2 linked regions of the Diceros bicornis minor genome follow. The protein of the gene in region 2 interacts with the protein of the main gene of each other region in a pairwise test. Links are inferred from orthologs where the notes say so. Each region holds a gene or a part of one and is shown on either strand. Other genes may lie near its edges.

Region 1 (7,835 bases), on a different chromosome or scaffold from region 2:
GGCTGAATAAGGGCTCCCAAAGGTGTCTAAGTCCTAACACTTGGAACTCATGAAATATGTTAATTTATACAACACAACGGACTTTGCAGATGTGATTAAGGATTTTCATTTGAGGAGATTATACTGGACTATCCAGGTAGGAACAATGTAATCAATCACAAGGGTCTTTATAAGAGGGACACAGTAAAGTCAGACAGAGAAGAGGGAGATGTGATGACAGAAGAAGAGGGAGAAAAGGTGATGTGGTTCAGAGCCATGAGCCAAGGAGTGTGGTGGCCTCTAGAAGCTGGAAAAGGGAAGGAAATGGATTCTTCCCGAGAGCCTCCAGAAGGAACCAGCCCTGCTGACATTTTAGTTTTAGCCCTGTAAGACTCATTTTGGATTTCTGCCTTCAGAAATTGTAAGAGAATAAAAGTGTGTTTAAAGCCACTAAATTTGGGATAATGGTGGAGGATGGGGATGGGGGTGCGTGATGTCTCCTTCTGCCAATCTGTGGCCCAGCTGAACCAGTGTGCCCAGATAACCTTCTCCACCCCTTTTACTCAAAGTGTGGTCCATGATCAGCAGCACCGCATCACCTAGGGGCTTGCTGAAACACAGATTCTCAGGTCCCACCACAGAGCTACAGATTCAGAGTCTGCATTTTAATAAAATCCACCCCCCCGGGGGGGGGGGATTCACAGTTACAGATCCACTTTGCCTCTGTCACTGTAGAACTGCCCTTCCCAGGGGGTGCAATCCCCAACTCTGCATTCCAAGGAAGCCGCTCCACTCCCAGTCCTTGGGCGGCTGCCACACTGTGTAGGTGTCACAAACCCTTCCTGGAAAAAGCATCTGCTCTAAATTGCATATTTCCAACAATGGCCTCCATGAAATATGCTGACCTAACAATTACTTAGAGGATGCAAAGACAGTAGAGCCAGAATAACAGAGCCACAACCTGAGGCCTGGAGAGGGAGGGGGCAAAGGGATGCCTTTTACAGCCACTCCCCACAAACTCAGGGCACATTCACAAGGGGAAGGGGCTATTTTTTGGAGTTTCCCAGACCTCCTCTGAAGGTCTGCTTACACTGGTCCTCCTTGTTCACAGGCTCGCACTCAGTAAGTAGGGCAATAAGCACGGTGATTGTCTTTGTCCACACCATATTCCAAGTGCCAGGCAGACCTAGGTGATCCATAAATATTCCTGATGTAATCAGAGGAGACTCTGCCGCTCGTGAGCAGAGGCAAGAGCTCCTGCTCCTTTCCGCCTGTCTGTGCCCACTCTGGCACTCACCACCTCAACCAATGTCTAGCTAGGCTTCTCCTGCCCCGCAATGCCCGGCACATAAATTAAAACAGAACATGGGAGAGCCCCCCCCCCCCCCCCCCCCCCCCCCCCCCCCCCCCGTGGCTTAGCGGTTAAGCGCGCTAGCTCGGCTGCTGGCGGTCTGGGGTTCAGATCCCAGGTGTACAACAACACACCACTTCTCTGGCCATGCTGAGGCCACGTCCCACATACAGCAACTAGAAGGATGTGCAGCTATGACATACAACTATCTGGGGGGGGGCGGGGGGCCCACCTGAGTTGGTTCTAAAAGGAACCAAGCAGAGGTCGCCAGCAAGTGCAAAGGTGCTGAGTAGTGAAAATACCGGGCCATCGGGCACTCGGGGCAGTCTCCTCCGCCCCTGGCTGTGAGGGTGTCCCGCCCTTCACCGACTGTAGCTCTTTGACGTTGCTCCCAAGAGCCAGCTGCCCCTTTATCCTTCCCAGTGCGCACTGGCCTAACCATCCCATCAATTCCTCTTTTCCGTTGCCCCCTCCTCACAGCCTCTAGGCTGCATGTCTCTGCTCACCCACCCTCTTGCTCCCTCCTCTCTGTCGCGACCCCTCCTCGCTGAGGCGCGTTCTCCCCTCGGCCCCCTCCGCTCATCCACCCACGTGCCCCCTCCTCTCTGGGGGCACGTTCTCTCCTCGGCTCCCTCCTCGGCGCCCTCCGCTCACCCGCCCGCGCGCCCTCTCCTCTCTGGGGGCATCTCTGGCACCCGAGGTGCGCGTGCTCGTTGCCTAGCGACGGGACGCGGCTCGCGGGAGGAGGGCGCGTGCGCGCGTCGGGCGTGGCCTCCTGAACGCAGGCGCGGGTTGGGAAGAAGGGTTCCTAGCGCTCGGCCGGGCTCTGGCGGCGCAGGCCGGTTTGGCCGTTGGACCTGGTGAGTGGTGTGGCGCTCGGGCGACGTTCCGGAGCCGGCCGCGGTCAGTTCAGCGCCGGAGGCTCCGCGGGCGCGTCGGCGGTTCCTCTTCCTCCTCCTCGGGGGCGAGCGGCGCAGCGCCTGCTGGAGGGCCGGACCTCCTTCCGCGGACCCGAGATGGGAAAAGGAAGCTGAGCGTCCCGAATCGAGGGTTGCCGGATAAAATACGGGACGCCCAGTTAAATTTGAGTTTCAGATAAGTAAGGAATAACTTTGTAGTACAAGTATAGTATAATATAGATCATTCGTTATTTATCTGAAATTCAAGTTTAACTGGGCGTCGTGTATTTTTATTTGCTAAATCTGGCAACCCTACCCAGATCCTCTCCTTTCCCACTCGGCTGGCCAGCTTTCTCCCAAGAATGGGCCAGGGACGTCTCTTTCTTGTGACAGCTTCTCCAGGCTTGTTTCTGTGAGAAGAGGCTTACTGATGTTGAGCCAAGATGCCTGTTGGTGTGTATGACGGATAACATTCCTTACAACAATCTTGTGAGATGGGTATTATTACCATTTCATGGACAGGAAACATGCCAGGTGAGATAAGGAGCCTCCCCGGGATCCCGCTGATAATGGGATGCAGCGTCTGAGACGGACCCTGGATGGGGCCCTACTCCTGGGCCAGAGGTTCCCCTTTCCTCTGTATTATCCCCTTGCTATGTGTTATCTTTCTGGAGCAGCAGGAGGCTATTCATTTTTTACGTTACTCCGCTTCTAATGACACTGAGATGTCAGTGTAGTTATTTTTGTCTTTAGAGCATATCCCAGTGAAGAAGTACAGTGAAGATAACTGTGTTGCAAACTCAGTTGTAATAATTCTTTTCTCTATGTCATTGAGACACCAATGCTAGCTTGATAGGGAATTAGGTTCATTTGTGCCAGCGTTCAGCTTTGAGAGTTTTTATGACTACATTTATGTGTACACACGTAGACATTGCTTTCCCCGCTGCTGTTGCTATCACGGAAGATGGCATCCTATGTACAGTTTCTGCACCTTGCTTTTTCCACTTCACACTATATCCTAGAGATCACCCCCTGTGTTAGAGATTCTCCTCATTCTCATTATTATATATCCGTGCAATAATCCATTGTGTTGCTGTATTTCATCAGTCCCCTAATGATGAACATTGGGATGGGGTTCCATTTTAGTTTTTCTAAACAATGGTGCAAAATAACCATTTGCATATATCACTTCATATTTTTTCAAGATAGGAGCCCAGAAATGAGATTGATGGGTCAAAGGGTAAATCATATGTAATTTTCTAGATATTGTCAAATTTCCCTCCAAAGGAGTTATGTCATGTTGTACTCTCACCACCATTGTATGAGAGAGAGCAGTATTGGGGTCTATGGATGAACCTCAGGAGGTCATTGTTTCTGAACTTTTATGCAGAATGTTAGGTGCATTTGTCCAGGGACAGGTCTGGACACACTGGCATTGTATCCCCAATAATTGCTCATGCCTGACATACAGTAGGTACTCATTATATATTTGTTAATGATTGTATTTCATCGGAGTCTGGATTCCATAAGGGTAATTTGAGGGTGATCAGTTTTTTAAACCTGAGATATAGTGGTTGCTACATTTCTTTTTTAAAAAAGTCTGGTCTAAGATTATTCTTGTCCATCTTCATAACTGAATAGACTGGGACATTACTGGGAGAGTGGAGGAACTCTCTCACTTGCCACCATAAAGAGCCAGCTGTGTCAGCCTTGTGATTAAAACCCTCCTTGAGGGGCTAGAGGAGCTTGTCTTCTAGTGGGAGGACAGACGTGCGTACAGACGGTGCTCAGGTAGTGTGACAAGGGCTGTGTGAGCTGCTTGGGGAAGGAGGAACTTTTTTATGTTGCCTGAGAAAGCTCAGGGAATGAGAGATGATCTACATCTTGCAGGTGAGGAGATATTTGCCAACTTGAGAGATTGTGAGGGATCATCATGTGCAAAAGTCGTGGAGATGCAAATGTGCGAGGTGTGGTCAGCAGAATGGCAGAATTTTCAGGATTTTCCGTGTAATTAGAGCCCAGGATATGCTGGGGGCTGAAGAGATGCCTGGAGCTGAGCCTGGACAGAAAACTGGAGCCAGAGTGTGAGGGGCTTTAGGTGCTGTTCTTGGAAGGTTGAATTTTTTTTGTTCTTTGGCCTTGCAGATTCAAGGACTTTTTTTTTTTTTTTTTGAGGTGGACTATTGTGACATTTTCTAAAAATGACTCTCCTGACTTGGGTGGAGCATCTTAGTACAGTCATTAAGTTCATGACTCTGGAATCAGGAGTTGCATGTGAATCCTGCCTCCACCGTGTGCCACCTGTGTGATCGTGGACTGTTCACCTGTGCTCTTTGTGCTGGGCTTCCTCACCTGCACAGAGGGATGATGACACCCATATTTCAGGTGTGTTGTGAGGCATTGTTGAGACAGGCATTGCTTGGCATATGGTCATCTTGCAATCAATAATGACAGTATTCTTTTTTTGACTCCTGGACTTGAGGGCCCATCAGGATTTGGAAACTGTTTTAGTTGTAGTGACTTCTGTGGAGCCTTTTTGGAAACCGTTAGAAGTTTCCTGGGGCCGTCGTGCTTGTACCATCCCTGATTGGAGGTGCCCCTGACTGGTGACAGGATGTAATGCTTTGTTGGCCTCACCGGACTCTACTTTTATTGTGCCTTAATTGAAAATGTTCTGCATTAATTCACAAACATTTATCTTTAAAAGTTAGGAGTTAGAAATGGAGTCGATATATCTTCAGAAGTACGTGGGGACGTGTCTAACTCAAGGTCTTGCAGAAGTGGCAAGAATTCGCCCTGTGGATCCAATAGAATATTTAGCATTGTGGATTTGCAAGTATAAGGAAAACGTGGCCATGGAGCAACTGGTAAGTATAGATCTTCTTTTAGAAAATTAGAAGAGTAAAATAATTGGTTCGGTTTGTCTGCTTTTTAAAAAAGGTCAATATTGTTATTTCTTTCTGTTATAAAAATACTATGTTTATTATACAAAAACTTGGACAAGATGAAAAAGTAGAAGAAGGAAACAATACCGAAAGAAGACCTCTATTTAGATTTTTAGGTATTTTCTTCTACTCTATTTTCTACACATCTGTCTATAGATATTTTTACATAGTTGTGATCATATTCAATGTATAATTTTAATTTTGTGCTCTTTATTTGAATAAAACATGCATTTCCCCAAATTATTATACAATTTCCAAATGGATAGACTATAATTTACTTATCCCTTTCCCTATTGTTGATAATTAAAATGCTTTCAAAATTATTTTGTCTCGAATTAGTCACGTGATATTGTTTCTAAACAATGCTAGAGACAAAAGGAAATGGCCGACTTGGAGCGTGAAAGAGAACTAGCTCTGAGGGAGCAGGAAATGATGGAGAGGCTCAGAGCAGAGGAGCTCATGTTTCAGCAGGTGAGACAAGTAACAGAGTTCAGAGGTGACTGGAATTAACAGTGTCAACCTCTGTTTGGTGTAACCCAAGTGCTGAAAAACTCCCCATCTCTGGTTATTTAGTGTATGGCTTTCTTATATCTTCATCTCTATGTATGTCTTCTTTGCTGGAAAAGCAGCAGCAGTGAGGTAGGAGGAAACCAAGGAGTGTGCCCTCGTGGAAGCCAAGGGGAGAGAGCGTCTCAGTGAGACCTTGGTGGTGAACCATGTCTATTGCTGGTTGAGTGAGAGCAGGACTGCACAGTACCCATTCAAGGCCACTGGTGACCTTGGCCAGTGTGGGTGGGGGGCGTACAGCAGGGGAGATGGTGAGTATAGATAATGCTTTCAAGGAGATTTTTAGGGAAGAAGTTTTTTTTTTTTTTTTTTTTTTTTAGGAACAGAGTGGAAGTGGAGAGGGAGTTGATGTTAAGAAATAGAGGGGATGATTTCTAGAGTCAGCTGTCCATGGAGGCAAAGCTACATTGAGTCTGGAACATAGGTTAGGCAGGTAGAAGGGAATTTCTTGATTCAAGGAAAGAGGAGAGGATGGTGTAGGTACATGTGGGTTATAGGTTTTGTGGCACAAAGTTGAAAGCAGTTTTCTGTGTGACTGTTCTTTATGAAGTAAGGACCATGATCACCTTCCAAGAATGAGGTGGTAGTGTAGGAGGTGTGGGGAGAGTGGTGAAGGTATGAAGTGGTAGCTTTGGAGCATGACAGAGAGAGTTGGCCAGGGAACCTTAGCATTACTTGGTAGCAATGAGTACCCTGATATGGTTGGAGACCAAGCATTTAAAATGTTGCCATTTGGTTTGGCTTTGTGATGATGTGATTTTTCTCCACTTAGGCCTAGATATCTGCGTGAAGATGTGGAAGAGGCAGACCCTTGACTGAAGTAGGTTTAGGGTAGCAGGACTGGGGAGCTGAATGTGTTGGTAAGAGTGGTTGAAGGGCTAGGTCATGGAGTATAAACTAGATAGAGGAAAGTTCCAGAGTGGCTTCTGCACTAATCTAATTTATGGAGAGCTTCTGAACTAAATGTAAGTCACCCCTCTAGTTCTACCATGTACTTAACTCTAGAGTCTCGACTCAAGTCTACATAGTTAAAAAGGGAAAGAAGCCTATTAGGCACCTTAGGTGGATGTGGCTGTTGAAAACTTGACTGCTTCTGAGTCTTCATTGTTCAGTCATTTGGCTTCTTCTTGTGGGAAGTTGCAAAGTGTGGAGTTGGATGTCAGTCATCTAAGTGGGCAAGTGTGTGCTGCAGTGGTCCCAACTTTGAGTGAGGAGCTGCCCTTCCTCTTGCAGCTCCTGTAGCTGGTGTGTGTCCCCCGTCTATCAGTTCTCCTTCCCCAAGACAATTACATCACAAAGGTGGAGATACTTAACTTTCTTTCACCCTTCTACTTTAACTTACTTAGATAAAATTTGACAGTACTGGAAATCACACATTTCTCTAACTGTATCATGTTGACCATATGAAGCAATCCACTGTGCATCGAACCCTAAGCATTGTATTGGGAGTGGAAGATACAATAATATTCTGCAAAAGATTTGGCCAGTAAAGAAGTGGATTGGTGGGCAGAAATAGATGAGAGAAGGAGAAGGGACATGTGGAGAGATGGACCAAGAGAGAAGAGCTTAGGAGAGAGCAAGGCTGAGATGAAGAGGAGCAGAGAGGCCTCTCCACGCCCCTGGGGTCAAGTGGGCTGGAGGTTCAGGACTCTGGCCGCCTCCCTGTTGGTTGCAAGAGCAGGTGTCCTTGTAGTCAGTACTGCTGACTTGAAGTTCCTTGACATTTTAGGCACTCTTTAGCAAGCCCTGGTCCTTGTGAACAGGCAAGTATTTTTATTGCTGTTTTCTACTTAAGAGCTTATTTATTTTTTTTTTTTGTGAGGAAGAGCGGCCCTGAGCTAACATCTGCCAATCCTCCTCTTTTTGCTGAGGAAGACCGGCTCTGGGCCAACATCCATGCCCATCCTCTTCCACTTTACATGGGACGCTGCCACAGCATGGCTTGACAAGCAGTGCGCTGGTGCGCGCCCGGGATCCAAACCAGCGACCCCTGGGCCGCCGAAGCGGAGTGCGCGCACCTAACCGCTTGTGCCACTGGGCAGGCCCCTGTGCTTATTTTTGAAGTAAAAGCTTTTTTGTTTTGTATTTGTTTGT
Region 2 (7,379 bases):
GTCCTCAATGAATCTGATATTTTGGTACATTTTGGGCAAATTAAGTTTAAAAATAGTTTTGAGTTTATTTTTATTTACTTTTTCTCAGCCTCGTACCACAAAGAGCTTGAGGCAAGGTAACTGAAGAGTCACAGCACTGCACAAAAGGCTAACTTTTAAAAAGTTCAATACTTCAATGAACATGGTATAGAAGTTAGGTTATTCACAAGACCCTGGAGAATACAGAATATTTTAAACGTTTACAACAAAAACCGAAAAGGAATTTTCTGAATCACAAATTTTTTTTTTAAACCTGTGAACTGTCTCAAAAAACATACTAAGTTTTTTTTTCATACTAAGTTTTTAACTGCATAATTTATCCTTAGGAAACACACTTGAACTCCTTAAAAAATAAATTCAAGTAGCAACAAGGATCTCAAAATAAACTAAGCCAAATAAACTGAAACCTTTATTTGAAAAGATTAAAGCTCCTTTCTTGGAAAAATGTCCTGTACATTTCTCTCCTTAATAAAGAATTTGGTAGACTATATTCATCAATGCATTCTCTAATTATCAACCAGTGAAGTCCATTTTCAGATCCTCAGGTCAGCACCTTACTTCTACAGTAACTTGCTTAGGAATCAAATAAGTTGATAAAAATAAAATTATTTTGATGACATAACCATATGGTAATGTCCACAAGCTGGAAATATTACCACCCCCTTGTTTATCTATTGTTTTACATAGAGCTATTGTGAAAAATAAACATACATGAAAGTTTCAACAAAAAAGCTACTCACCACCATCCCTCTCTCTAACTCTGTGAATATGCACATTTTTGGCCTTACTGTGACCTGTGCTGTCACTATATTTGTTTTCAGGACTATCAGATCTCCGCAACATTTTATTTGGTGGTGAAGGATCTGCGGCGTCTCGCATTTTTTCATGTCTGTGATCACCGCTACTGGGGTGACTCTTCGATGAATATTTAAGTGCCTGTAAAACATCACCCCCCCAAAAAGAAGAGAGAAAGAATTGAAACTTTAAACTTAACTTCCTAAATTAATTTTATCATAAAATTTGATGTTATTAAATTTATTGTTTCATAAATTTATATCAATAAAATTAAAATTTCCACTTTCAATTCTGCCTTTAAGTTAGTCAAACAAGTCTTAAATGCCTAAGAGTTACTATAAGACTCCTCACACAAATCATAATACCCTATGTAAAAGAGAAAAAATAAAAGAAAAAAAATCCACTCCATTAAGTATCTCGTAAATACAAGAAATCAGACACCTCTGTACATTAATTCCTCAATAAATTTTTCTGGGAACTAAAAAATTTAATTTAAAGAAAAGTACAAACAGTACTACTGTAAGCTATCTCTGCTCTACAACTACAAGTAAAAGTAAGCATAAGCATGTTTCTGCAAACCTACAAAAAATAAAAGCATCAGTCTCTCCAATTCTTTGATTCAAATACAGCACTTCAAACCTAACTAACCAACTCTTGCAGATGTGGGATACAATTTTAAGGTATAAAAATGTTGTGTGATATTTCTAACAAAACATAATGGAACTCCCTTCACAATGATTTTAGTTTCATTCTAAAACATATTTAAGACAACTATGATATACCAGTCTTTTACAGCATATAATTAATTATGTTCTAGAGGGGCAGATTCAACAGCGTTTAATTTTTGACTATCCAAATGTAACAAACAATGTTTTTGACGTTATCAGGGGACGTAAGGTTTTTAACTTGAGCTTTAACAACTCACGGTAGCCAGTAACAAAACTGTCAGCTTAGAAACCTACTCTCCTTTCCTTTAAGTGATCAGATGTAGAAAGTATTTACTTCTGGTGTCATCTGATAGTTACCAACCATTTATGAAGTTTTTCCTCCTGAAAAAAAGGACCACTTCCACACAATTTTTAAAAACTTTCCACACAGCAACTGCTGTAAAAAAAGGAACCAACATACCTAGCACTGTCTACATTAGAATGAGTTGTCTAAGTATCCAAAGATCTCAATTCTTTCAGAAACAAAAGCACTCTTCCACTAGTCAGGCAATTATTTGCACCAAAAACAAAACGGGAAGCGATAGGGGTTTACAACACACTTAAGAGTTGCGAATCAATTAGCTGTTTCTTCCCAGACCTTTCATTTAATCTTAATACCTTTACATTAACTTTTAGTTCTAATTTTAATATCTTTACGTTAACTTTTAGTTCCCCACTACAATAAATAAATATGGTTCAGAAGGCACCTCATCCCACCGATTCCTTCAAGCCCAAATAATCAAGTCAGGTCTTTTCTGGCCGAGAATGATTTTTTTCTAAAAAAACTGAACTTCCTCCAGTCACCTGTCAAAACAAGTCACTAACGCTCGCTGGAGAGCGCTCAGGGAACCCAACACACGATTTTCAGGGGCCCCGCGGTGCTAGTTTGGGATCTGTTGCACAGAAGGGCCTGTAGCGACTTCTGAAGCCTGCGCTCGAGTAGCAGTTCCTCCCTTCCCCCTCCGTCCCCCCATCCACCCCCCACCCCGGGCTCGGCTGGTACCTGGTAAGGCTGCGAGTCCCCCCTCCGGTCGTGACAGCTGAAAAACAGGAAGAGAGGCAGCGACATGAGACATCTCGGGGAGAGGAAGAAAACGCGCCCCCCCCGCCCCTCCCCGCGGGAGACCTCCCGAGCGGACCGGCGACCAGCCCACACGCGCGCGCGCACACACGCAGCCTCAGGCGGCCCCGAGAGGGCGAAGCCCCGCGCCCCGGCCCGCGCTCCCTCCGCACCCGCCCGTGCTCGCCCGCTCGCGCGGCGGCTCCTCCTCCCCGCCCGATCCCGAGCAGGCTTAACAACAAAAATGGCGGCGCGGCAGCACCAGCTCAGGAGGAACAGCCCCCCCGCCGCCGCCCCCCGCCCGCTGCGGCCCGGCCGGAAAGGAAAAGACGATTTACCCATCACTGAGTCTCTGCTGTTTCCTCGCATACATTACCATCAATGCCCGGCCTGTGAGTGTGTGTCGGGGGGCGGAGAGCGGCCGCGAGGGGCGGGCGGGCGCGCAGGCGGCGGGCGGGCGGGCGGCAGCACCGGCACCAGGGCCCGGCGCGCCCTCGGCGACTCTCAGCACCTCCCCGTTACTGGCGCCGGCGCTCCCGGGCCATCTCCCTGCGGTCGCACCACGCTCACACTCAGCCCGGGCAGCGGCGCCAACTACACGGCGGCAGCGGCGAACCGGGGGGAGGGGGCCAAGAAGACGCGTCCGGCTCGGCCCCGCGGAGAGCGACTGCCTCCTCCGCCTTCTCCTCCTGCTCCGCCGCCGCCTCCCCTCCTCCCCCCGCCGCCGCCGCTGCCTGGTCCTTCTCCTCCTCCTCCTCCTGCCGCCGCCGCCACCGCCGCTGCTGGTGCCGCCGCTGCCGCTCCACCAACTACATCCGGGCAACTCGGCCGCTGCGGCCTTCGGCAAACCTCGGCAGTTTCCGCCGCGCCCCTCCTCTCCCAGCCTCTGCCTCTCTCCCCGCCCCGCGCAGCTCCGGAACGCCGCCTTCGGCAAACCTCGGTTCGCCCCGGCCTTCCTCTTCCTCTGAGGCCTGTTTCGCCTCCTCGCGACCCGTCAGCTCTTTCCGGTTGCCGCTTCTTTTCCTCACGCGACGTCCGGCCAGCGCCGTTCCCTTTTAGGGATAGTCCTGCTCGGGGACCTGCTCGAGGCCGGTCCCAGGGGCCCTGCGGTGCGCGGGGAGGGAGCCGCCTTCAGGAGGAGGACGGTGGGGCGCGAGAGAAGCCATCGCGGACTAAATAGGGAGGCGGCGGCTGCTGCGCGTGCGCCCAGCGGCGCGGGGGTGGAAGGGTGCCCGCCCCTTCGGGCGCTGGCCGGGTGGTCGGCAGCCCCCGGTCAAGCGGCGGGCGGACGGCTGTCAAGGAGCTCTCTCGGTTTGCTGCGACGGCAGCCGCTTCAGGGAGGCGGGGGGCCCACCGTTCCCCCGGGCCCCTCATGGAGCCGGAACCGGGGCCTGGGCGCCTGCCCCCACCCTGCCGCCGCGCGCGCGGCCGGCCTTCGGCGGGCGGGGGCTGCTCGGAGCCCGGCGAGGGCAGTTGGCAGTAAGTCACTCCCCGGAACGTCGGGAGAGCGAGCTTTCCGAGGAGGGGAGACGACGGGGGGGGGGGGGTCTCGAGACTGCAGGGAGGCCGGGTGTCTGCGCGCTGAGGGAAGATTCTAGAGTGAGGAGGGCGCCGCTCCGGGCCGTGAAGTAGAACCTCGGGTGGGCCTGGGGCCTTAGGGGGATGGGTTGCTGGGAGAAAATGCTGAACCAATCGCCTCCTCCACATTCAGTATCTTCCACCGCCAGTCGTGCCCTCCCCACCCTCTCCTTTATTTCTCGTTTTTCTCTCTTTTAGTTCTTCTTCCTCGCTGGAGCCTTTTGGTGAAATTCCTCTGGAAGTTCTGCATGTGAATAAAGGCATGGGGGGTGCTCCACGAAATGGCTGCAAATTGAATTTTCCGTCCTGCTGCAGGCCCAGTAGCAACGCTGGCATAATGGGAGGGAACAGGTCAAGTCTGCCAGAAAATGAAGCTTTACTTGAGAGTGGCAGTAATCCGGTAATTTTTTTTTTCTGCTCTAAACTCCTTGTAAGGCAACATTAATTTAATTAAAAGGATTGTAATAAACATAAATATACAACTGTTTACACAGAATAAAAAGGTATAATAGGAAACATCACAAATAAGATCCCTCCAAAAGACAATATCAAAAACTAATTGATTTATTTGGTATCCAACAAGTTATCTTGTTGTTGGGCCTAATGAAGAAATGGAATGATGTGAGGAAAAAGACCCTGACGTTACAACTGCTTGAAAGAAAGAATTACATACCCTTATTTGTCACAGCTGCCTGCTGAATACTAAAATTATTGCGGTTTGTGAGGACCAGTAAAAGCCTACTTCATGCCGGTAAGCTGTCGGTAACTCAGGAAAAACTGCCAGTGAGTGAAATGAGGGGAAAAAAAAAAACCTCGAGTCTTATGTGCAATTTCTAACATTTTTCTAACAAATACATTGAAAACAAGAGACACCAGCTTAGAAGAGTATAGAAAATAATATATCAATGTAGAAACTTTTTGACAACTAACAGCAACATTTGTTTTGTTTGATAATCAGACGTCTACTGAAATTGATGTATACTATTTGATTAAAAGCAGCAGACTGGGCTTAGCTATGGAGGAAACAGTTCCAAGCAGTGTACATTCAGTCCTCATTCTTCACAGATTCCATATTTGCGAATTCGCCTACTTACTAAAATTTATTTGTACCCTGAAAATCAGTATGTGCAGCGTTCATGGACATGCGCAGAGTGACAGAAAATTTAACTTGTCTGACATGCATGTGTCCAGCTGAGGTTAAGCAAGGGGACACTCTGCTGCCTTATTTCAGCTCTCATACTGTGGACAGATGTGCTTTTCACAATATACATATCATCATGTTTCTCACATTTTTGTGCTATTTATTGGTGGTTTTGCTGTTTTAAGTGCCCCCAAGCATAGTGCTGAAGTGCTGTCTGATATTCCTAAGCACAAGAAGGCTGTGATGTGCCTTGCAGAGAAAACACTGTCCTAGATAAGCTACCTTCAGACTTATCATTAGTGCTCTTGGCCATAATGAGTTCAGTATTAATGAATCAACAATATATATTAAACAAGGTGTCTAAACAGAAACACATGAAACACATTATGTATTGATGAAAATGTTGTGACCAGAGTCTCTTGGGAACTGAACCCTGCATTTCCCCCAGGAGCAGTTCAGGGTTCATGGTAACTTTATAGAACATAACTACCTCAAATAATGAGAATCGACTATTTACTAAAAGGCACATCTGAATGCTATACCCATTTTTTAAAGATTCATTGCCTACCTTAGACTGCATTATCTGTTGTTATAAACCCTCCTCTGCAGGTATCTTCAGTGCGTTCCTCCTTCTTCCTTTGTTGTACGTGCCTAAATCAGAACCCTTGTTAATTCACTGTATGCCTGCAGCAGAGCTATTGAACTTGGTTGGAGAAAAACACATCTGCACTCTGAAGTGAGCTCCTTGTGTTCCTGACCCCCTCAGGCTAATTTCCCTAATCCGTTTATCCCGCCTTCTTAAACAACTATTTAACATCTTTTAAACCTGACTGTACATCCCACTCCTCTCTAGTAAATCATTATCTTGCTTCTTATCTAAGAAAACAGAAATCAGTAGTAGTTCTCACTGTGGCACTTGCCAATCTTCCTGCATCTGAATACCCTGCTACACCAGTAACTGTAGATAAACTGTCAAAATTCCCATCTAAGACCAAACTTGCCCCTTTTGCATTGAGTTCCATTTTACTCTTGGAATTGTCCAGTTTCCTTATGAATTTTTCCCCTCTCAGCTGGATCACTTTTGTCAACTTATAAACGTGTTGATATTTTTATTTTTGCTGAGGAAGATTCACCCTGAGCTAACATCTGTTGCCAACCTTCCTGTTTCTGCTTGAGGTAGATTCACCCTGGGCTAACATCTGTGCCAGTCTTCCTCTGTTTTGTATGTGGGTTGCTGCCACAGCGTGACTGCTGACGAGTAGTGTAGGTCTGTGCCTGGGAACAGAACCAGGGCTGCTGAAGTGGAGCGTGCTGAGTTTAGCCATGGGGCCAGCCCCATAAACAGGTGTTAATAGCTACCATCTTCAAAAAAAAAAAAATCTTGACTTGTATCTCCCTCCAAATGCTGCCCCATTACTCTGATCTGCTCTCCTGTATAGAAAAACTTCATCTCCACTTCTACTCTCTTGAACCTACAAATCAGACTTGATCCTGACATTCCACTGAAATTGCTCAAAATCGTCATTAGCCTCCATGTTCTCAAATCCATTTTTTTCCCTCAGTCTTCATCTCACTTCACCTGTCAGCAGCATTTGAAACAGCTGATGACTTACTCTCTCCTTCCTGAAGCTCCTTATCTTGCCTGCCAGGATTCCATTCTGTATTTCACTCTTGCTTCTCTTCCTTCCTAAATGGCTGTTCCTTACTCCCCTTGCTGGTTCCTTCTCAGTTTCCCCCCTCTAAATGCTGGAGTGCCCCAGGATTCAAATCTCACAACTTGGACTGCTTCTCCTCTCTCTACTCTCTTTCCCTAGGCAGTCCCATCCAGATCTCCAGCCAAGTGAAACCCACATTTGAGTCTTCAGCCCACACCTTTTCCCTAAATACTGGACTTAACACTGAACTGCCTACTCTATAGCACTGCTTGACTGTCTAACAGGCTTCACAAACTTAATGTATCCAAAACCAAACTCTAATTTTTCCCCCCAAACAAATCCCAATCAGATCTTCCCTATTTCATGAAATGGCAACTGCATTCTTCCAGCTGAGGCTACAAACT

What was found. The genes of interacting proteins can lie anywhere in the genome.
Region 1: the proteins of WAC (region 2) and DYDC1 interact in binary tests that used the Homo sapiens proteins (3 or more experiments, as listed by UniProt). The two-hybrid records come from large-scale screens. The link is inferred for Diceros bicornis minor from reciprocal best matches to the Homo sapiens genes WAC and DYDC1.

Annotation. Positions count from the first base shown.
Region 1 is NC_080745.1:5,133,791-5,141,625, reverse strand, and holds the start of DYDC1 (DPY30 domain-containing protein 1), read left to right. Parts: upstream 1-4,817; 5' UTR 4,818-4,949; coding exon 4,950-5,096; intron 5,097-5,543; coding exon 5,544-5,645; intron 5,646-7,835. UniProt on the Homo sapiens protein: Functions as part of axonemal radial spoke complexes that play an important part in the motility of sperm and cilia. Plays a crucial role during acrosome biogenesis.
Region 2 is NC_080775.1:27,439,716-27,447,094, reverse strand, and holds the start of WAC (WW domain-containing adapter protein with coiled-coil), read right to left. Parts: upstream 3,020-7,379; 5' UTR 2,990-3,019; coding exon of another isoform or gene 2,983-2,989; 5' UTR 2,981-2,982; coding exon 2,940-2,980; intron 2,582-2,939; coding exon 2,546-2,581; coding exon of another isoform or gene 2,545-2,545; intron 995-2,544; coding exon 780-994; intron 1-779. Other genes in the region: uncharacterized protein LOC131398901, read left to right, coding at 2,983-2,989, 3,020-3,608, 4,378-4,579.